Ovis aries: one gene and its partner. The protein of the gene in region 1 purifies or fractionates together with the protein of each later gene. This does not show direct contact. Links are inferred from orthologs where the notes say so. Each region holds a gene or a part of one and is shown in the gene's direction. Other genes may lie near its edges.

The links. The genes of interacting proteins can lie anywhere in the genome.
Region 2: the proteins of NUP133 (region 1) and NUP160 purify together in Homo sapiens (co-immunoprecipitation; 4 studies listed by BioGRID and IntAct, with this or other methods). This does not show direct contact. The link is inferred for Ovis aries from reciprocal best matches to the Homo sapiens genes NUP133 and NUP160.

What each region holds. Positions count from the first base shown.
Region 1 is NC_056078.1:1,013,906-1,017,508, reverse strand, and holds part of NUP133 (nuclear pore complex protein Nup133), read left to right. Parts: intron 1-119; coding exon 120-254; intron 255-860; coding exon 861-1,031; intron 1,032-2,728; coding exon 2,729-2,884; intron 2,885-3,159; coding exon 3,160-3,230; intron 3,231-3,603. UniProt on the Homo sapiens protein: Involved in poly(A)+ RNA transport. Involved in nephrogenesis.
Region 2 is NC_056068.1:76,491,466-76,495,858, reverse strand, and holds the start of NUP160 (nuclear pore complex protein Nup160), read left to right. Parts: upstream 1-1,589; 5' UTR 1,590-1,603; coding exon 1,604-1,703; intron 1,704-1,978; coding exon 1,979-2,090; intron 2,091-4,393. UniProt on the Homo sapiens protein: Functions as a component of the nuclear pore complex (NPC). Involved in poly(A)+ RNA transport.

The sequences.
Region 1 (3,603 bases):
TTCCCCCTGATTTCTGTTCATGAGTAATGCATTGCCCTGGTTTCTGTATGTCAGTGTCGTCAGACCGCCGCTTTGGGCTCCTTTTCTTGTGTTTGCTGAGTGTTATGATCTTGTTTCAGGCTGTTACTGTCATGGTTGCCACCAGAGAAGGATCCATCCGCTATTGGCCAAGCCTTGCGAGTGAAGATACCTACACAGAGACGTTCGTAGATCTGGGAGGTGATAAGACCTATAGTTTCCTAACAGCAGTACAGGTATACGATGGATATTCTTCTATATTTATTGGGAAACTGTCATTTGGCTTGGAATTCAGGTTTGGCTGACTAAAAATTTGTGATTTCGAGCAGATCATACAGGTAGGGCTGGGAGAAGATCAAAAAGGAGGCAAGGAAAGAATGTAAGAGTCTAGGATTTGAGCACTTAGGCCGAGGGAAGCCCTTCTCGTGGGACTCTGACCTGTCAGTGGAGCATAGTAGCCAGTGGTATTCGTTTCTGTCAGAAACATCTTTAGAGAGTGATTCAGAAACTCTTAGAGGAAGACTGGTTTGCTAATGCATATTCTGCTGGTTTACCAAAGAAATAAAATCTGATTCTTAATTTGTTGAACCTATGTAATGTGAACCTATAACTTAAAAATCAGAATTTAAAAAAAGTAATTAAAAAAATGGCTCTGAAGTTTTTCTGTGTAGTATTAAGTGAATGGATTCATAAATTATTTTTTAAAAATAGCACTGTTCTTTTTTTATTCTTTAGATTTATGTTGAGGTACAGATAATTTCCCTCGAAGCATATCAAAGTGATTTGTGTTCATTTTCTTTTCTTAGTCTTAAATACTTAACTAATTTCACATTTGTTCACAGGGAGGAAGTTTTATTTTATCCTCATCGGGGGGCCAACTAATCCGCCTGATACCTGAAAGTATAGGAAAAATCCATCAGCATGTCCTGCCTCAAGGACAAGGCGTGCTCTCAGGAATTGGTCGGAAGGTTTCTTCTCTTCTGGGAATCTTATCTCCTAGTAGTGATCTCATTGTAAGTTGGTGAAATGACTGTTTTACTAGCTTGTTTCTTAATGAAATCAGTAAGTTGGCAGTCTCCTATGAAGTTAGCGTTGCCACTGTATGTACAGTGGTGTATGTGAGATGAAAACTTTGATCTTTCAGTGAGGCATTTTTATTATGATGATTAGATGAGTTCATACTAACCCTCTTGCATCCTCTGTAACATTAATTATTCTTAAGTTTTATAGATTATCTGGTAAGCTCATTTTTTGAGTTAAAACTATGATGTAAAGTTATAAATGTGTTCAAGGATTAGTTTTGCTTTCTAGACGTAACCAAAAGTGTGCTTTCCACCCCCGAGCCTCCAGCTGTCTGTGTGGATGATGTCTGCTGGGCTGTGGCTCAGACTCTGGAGTAGTGAGTGAAGATGCTGGGAACTAACATCTTCAACTAACTGCACTAACAGAGCAGTGGGGCATCTGCTCTGCCAGGAGCCCTGTGTGTGTTATCTCCTGTAATAATTGTGATCCGTAATATATAGAGCTTCATGTCCCATTTGTGTTAAATAAATGGGGAAATGGCCTCAGTGAGGCTACCAAAATTGCCCAAAGTTCAAAACTGCTCAGCGACAGATGCATGCCCACATGTGTGTGAACTGAGAGCACCTTCCCCCGCCCCCGACTTTTCTGAAACATTTTATTTTATAGGCGTATAGCTGAGTAGCAATGCTGTGGCAGTTTCAGGTGGACAGTAAAGGGGCTCAGCCATACATACACGGGTAGCCATCCTCCCCCAGACTCCCCGTGCACCCAGGCTGCCATGTAACACTGAGCAGAGCTCCCTGTGCCATGCAGCAGGTCCCTTTGCATTAGCCCTGCTAAGTACTGCAGTACCACATCCTTTATGAAGTGGGGCTCTTCCCTCTGATTTCAGGTTGCTGTCATTATCTGCTTCCTTAAATGGTCTTTGAACGTAAGCTTTAACATGTCTAGAAGAAAATTGCTCGTGTTCTCTTCTCTCCTATTGACTTACAAAACTCATTTTTCTTTTGACCTATTTCTAATGGCACTGTCACCTTTTTCAGAGACCCAGGTATAAAATCCTGGTTGTGTGTGTATGTGTGTCTCCCTCTCTTTATGGGGCAGAATATTTACCAGCTTCTCTAGATTTGAGACATAGTGACAGGAAAAGTGGAGACAAATAGGGTTTTAGTTCAGCAGTCACATATACGCAATTTTTAAGTTGGGTTAGATGTGTTCTTCAGAAGCAAGGGAGATGAAGTGATATAAACGTGTGGAACTACACACACCCCTCCAGATTCCTTCTCCTGTAACAAATCTCTTGTGCTCACAAGCTATGGATATTATCTCCTTAGCTTACTTGGTTTACAAACTGACATTCAAGACTATGCTGTGTGTGAGCTTCAGTTTTGCTTCTTTCCTAGCTATAATCCACATTCTAGTTTAGCAGGACTGTGTTTTGTTCTTTAAAGAGCCTCTGACTTTCCTGCCTCCCTACTCTGCTCTTCCTGGGCCTTCTGCCTGTGAAAATCCTCCTTACTCTCAAGGTCTATTTCAGGATCACTTCTTCCCCTGAATCCTAAATGAAGAATTCTGCTAGGATTACTAATCAAATAGCTATAAAATATATGAATTTTTAATTTCAGGAAAATCATCACTGACACTAGAATTTAATAATCTATAAACTTTTTTTCTCCTCTCCATACAGCTTTCAAGCGTCCTCTGGGATAGAGAGCGAGCGAGCTTTTATAGCCTGACAAGTTCAAACATCAGTAAATGGGAATTAGATGATTCTTCAGAAAAACAAGCACATAGTTGGGATATAAATAGAGTCCTGAAGGAAAACATTATTGATGCTATCTGGGTAAGGAACAGTAACATTCATCTCTGTCATTTTTATTTATATAAAATTGCTAGTTCTTTTAGTAGAACGCATTTCAGTCATCAGATAAGCAGAGTATTCAATCTTTAGAAGTATTGGGACTCACTGGTTTACTTAATTTTTTAAATGCATACATTATTCATTCAATAAGTTTGACTTACTGTGGATGAGGCAGTTTAGTAGGTGCTGGGGATATAAAGGTGAAAAGAAATGATTTCTATACTGAAGGAGCTTACATTGTTGATATTTTCATGTAGGGATCTGAAAGTAACTATGAAGCTATTAAAGAAGGGGTCAACATTCGGTATTTGGATTTGAAGCAAAACTGGTAAGCAACTCATTTGTCATGCAGAGCATAGGTAGTTGTTTGGAAAAACAGATTGGTGTTTGTTATAGAATAATAAGCACCCTTGCTGTCTGTTCTGATGTGTCTAACCCTAATCTTATATTATTCCGCCTTATTGAATCGCTTTGTTCTGTCTGGCAGTGCTAATTCGTTTCAGAAGTGTTGGCAGTTTTCGGCCTTCCACTGAGTGTCCCATTAGCTGTCTGCCCTTGTTAGGGATCATCTGTTCTGCTCGAATAGCTGGAGCTCCTGAGAGCTGCCTGCCCTGCTGCTGGTTGTGTTCCATGCTGTCGTCTCTGCTGACTCAGTGGAGGTTCTGGGGGCTCTTCTCCAGTCCTTTTTTTGTTGCTGAAGG
Region 2 (4,393 bases), on another chromosome or scaffold:
CTCTATTTCTTTGCATTGATCACTGAGGAAGGCTTTCTTATCTCTCCTTGCTATTCTTTGGAACTCTGCATTCAGAGGCTTATATCTTTCCTTTTTTCCTTTGCTTTTCGTTTCTCTTCTTTCCACAGGTATTCGTAAGGCATCCTCAGACAGCCATTTTGCTTTTTTGCATTTCTTTTCCATGGGGATGGTCTTGAGTCCCGTCTTCTGTACAATGTCACGAACCTCTGTCCATAGTTCATCAGGCACTCTATCAGATCTAGTCCCTTAAATCTATTTCTCATTTCCACTGTATAATCATAAGGGATTTGATTTAGGTCATACCTGAGTGGTCTAGTGGTTTTCTCCACTTTCTTCAATTTAAGTCTGAATTTGGCAATAAGGAGTTCATGATCTGAGCCACAGTCAGCTCCCGGTCTTGTTTTTGCTGACTGTATAGAGGTTCTCCATCTTTGGCTGCAAAGAATATAATCAATCTGATTTCGGTATTGACCATCTGGTGATGTCCATGTGTAGAGTCTTGTCTTGTGTTATTGGAAGAGGGTGTTTGCTATGACCAGTGCATTCTCTTAGCAAAACTCTATTAGCCTTTGCCCTGCTTCATTCCATACTCCAAGGCCAAATTTGCCTGTTACTCCAGGTGTTTCTTGACTTCCTACTTTTGCATTCCAGTCCCCTATAATAAAAAGGACATCTTTTGCAGGTGTTAGTTCTAAAAGGTCTTGTAGGTCTTCATAGAACCATTCAACTTCAGCTTCTTCAGCGTTACTGGTTGGGGCATAGGCTTGGATTACTGTGATATTGAATGGTTTGCCTTGGAAACGAACAGAGATCATTCTGTCGTTTTTGAGATTGCATCCAAGTACTGCATTTCGGACTCTTTCGTTGACCATGATGGCTATTCCATTTCTTCTAACGGATTCCTGCCCATAGTAGTAGATATAATGGTCATCTGAGTTAAATTCACCCATTCCAGATGGGTGAATACCAGAATACATTACAGTTCATTATACAAAAATACTCGTATACAGTCTCTCGGAAAAATTCCAACACAAAAGGACACTCTGCCCTTCACTGCCCCCGCCCCCATCACCCACCATCCCATCCCCAAGGCTCGCTTAAGGGTGGGTGAATAAAAGGAGACAGAGCGGAGATGCACTGACAGATACCACGACTCAGGGAGAGATGACCGCAAGCTCGAAACCCAGTAGAGGGCGCCCGTCTGCCGGGCCTCCCGGGACCTCGCCCCTCCCGGCAGGCTGAGACCTGCGTCCCGCGCGGCGTTTTTAAAATGGAAACAAACCCGGCCACGCCCCCTGCCCCGAGGCCGCCGGGAAATATGGCGCCGCCGCTTGGGGCGTCCTAGCCGGCCACGCAAAGGTTTCCTCAGGTGGAGTCCGCAGGCTTCCCCTAGCCCTTTCTCCCTCGGCTCCCTCCCTGCGCACCTGATCTCCAGCTAACTCGATGGACACCTCAACGCAGGATCCGGCCGCCCCCGACCTCTCCGGACTTCTCCACCTGCCCGCCTGCCCCGCCCTCCGGAAGTGACGACACTCGCCCGGCCCTGCTGGTGTCCCGTCGGGCCTCGCGGCGGCGCGGGAAGATGGCGGCGGCGGGAGCCGTGGAACGGAGCTTCGTGGAGCTCGTCGGCGCTGAGCGCGAAAGGCCCAGGCACTTTCGGGAGTTCACCGTCTGCGGCATTGGTACGGCAGCATCCCAGCAGAGCGCGATCCGAACCTTCCCCTCGGGCCTCCCCTGTGGATTTCTCCATCCCAACCCCCGCCCCCCCGTTACCCTTCTGAGCCCACATGCCTGTTAGCACAGGAATCAGAGCTACCTTAGTGTCCTGCTGCCTCCTCTTCCCTCCCCTTTCATTCTGTATGGACTGTCAGTCCGTCCTCCTCTGCTTTCTCAGCGACCTCGGTCCGTGTCATGCCCAGAGAACCACGTGTGCAGGCTGACCACTCACCTTTTACAGGAACTGCAAATGCAGCGGCCGGAGCCGTGAAATGCAGTGAGAGCGCGGGAGGCTTCTACTATGTGGAAAGTGGCAAGTTGTTCTCCGTCACCAGAAACAGATTCATTCATTGGTGAGTGCTGTGTTTGGCAAGCCCTCTGGAAGGTCGGGTCGTTCGGCGGCTGAATTTTCCTGTCTGGCCCTGAGATGTCATTCATTTTCCGAGTGGTTGTAGACAGGAAAAGAAAAAAAGACTGCTTTCTATTTCTGTCTTAATCAGTGGAGAATTAAGGACACCCAGAGTTCTGGAAGAGTTACCCTATCAGGCAACACTAAAAGCAGAAGAAATGTAGCATAGGGGCTAAAGCCCCAAAGACCAGTTTTTAAACATGAGCCCGTTATGTATTTGTAGTGCTTTACATTCATCCTATGTGTTTGAGCCTTTACTTGTCAGGCACTGCTAGGTGTCCTGGGGACAAAATGACTAACAAAAACAATCACCGTTTTCATCATGCAAGGTGTGGCAGTGTAAGAGACGTGGACCTACCTTTCATGGGGCAGTTTTGAGAAGAAAAAAGGCATCAAGCTAATGTTCATGCATAGGTATATCAATACAGATTTTTCATTCTTGCCTCAGAGGAGAAGAATAGGGTTTTGAGAGGCTAATGGGAAGACCAAGTGTTATTGGTGGGGCTGGAGAGGCCTAAAGTAAGTCACATTTAACCTGAGATTGGAAGGGTGAAAGGTTAGCCAAGCAAGGTGTTGTGGGAGAGAGCATTTGAGCAAGTGGGATCACTGTCTCCAAAATCCATGAGGTGAAAAGAATTTGACAGGTTTGAGGAACTGACTAAAGATCTATGCGGCTTAACTGCAAATGGCAAAATGGAAAAGGACGTGAGCGATGCTGAGACTAGTAGCTAGGGTGGACTCATCATGAAGGACCTCAGGCTGTGCTTGGTCTCTGCTCTGGTGCATGGGCTTCTCATTACGGCAGCTTCTCGTTGCAGAGCACAGGCTCTAGAGCGTGGCCTTAGCTACTGCATAGCATATGGAGTCTTCCTAGGCCAGGGATCGAGCTGATGTCCCGAGACTTGGCAAGCAGATTCTTAACCACTAGACTACCAGGGAAGCCCCAAGATATGTGAATTTTATCCTGAGTATGTTGAGCAGTCACTGAAAGTCTATAAGCATGATCAAAATCACATTTTAAAATAATCATTCTGCTTTGTGTAAAATAGATTTGGGATGGATGGGTAAAATACAAAAGAACAGTTTGCTTTTATGATGGACCAAGTAAGACATTGAAAGGTTGTTAAATCACACAAAGATGCTGGGATTCTTGGCCCCCGGAGGAGAAGAATTCAATCCAGGGCCAGAGACGAGGTTTGATCGCTCAGAGCTTTTGTGTAATAAAGTTTTATTATAGTATAAAGGAGATAGAGAATGCTTCTGACATAGGCATCAGAAGGGTTCAGAAAGAGTACCCCCCTGTTAGTCTTCAGCTGAATGTTATATAACCCACTCCAGTACTCTTGCCTGGAAAATCCCATGGACGGAGGAGCCTGGTGGGCTGCAGTCCATGGGGTCGCTAGGAGTCGGACACGACTGAACGACTTCACTTTCACTTTTCACTTTCATGCATTGGAGAAGGAAATGGCAACCCACTCCAGTGTTCTTGCCTGGAGAATCCCAGGACGGGGGAGCCTGGTGAGCTGCCGTCTATGGGGTCACACAGAGTTGGACACGACTGAAGCGACTTAGCAGCAGCAGCAGCATTCTGTTAATGAAAGAAAGGAATGTCTTGAAACTCAGAATGGCACCAGGCCCCTCACCCATAAGATGCATTTTGGGATAATCTTGGCACCAAATGGTTCATCCTGGGCCATAAAATGATTAACTTGAATCTTGAAGAAGGGCAGATCACCATACAAATAGTTTCATTTACATAGATTAGAGGAACAGTATCTGAGTATAACATACTGGTTTGTCAAGGAGGTTCTGAGCCAAGAGGTGGAACCAACTTGAAGATAGAGTTTGGGGTAGATGCATAGTATGTTAACATAGCTTAAGATAAACATTTCCATAAGAAAAAGGCATTGGTTGTCTCTAGGTTTGAGAATAGTTAACTTCAGGTGAAACCAGGTGTCATTATGGCAACACAGTATTTTAAGGGAAACCTCCTTTTAAATGTGTATAGAGAAGGAAAAAATATCGATAGTTTGTTTCCTCCTGCTTCCTTCTGCCGCTTAAGAGAGATAAAAATGTCTGACACTTGCAGGCTATTTCCTCCGTTTGGAGACCGCTGGCCTTCATGCCTGTTACCCTCTCAACATGTTGGTGACTCAGCTGTGGGAGTAGCTAGAAAAACAGAGATAGATGGATTCGAGATACACTTAGAGGGTAGCTTCATTAGGACCAGGTGATAGACTGACAATG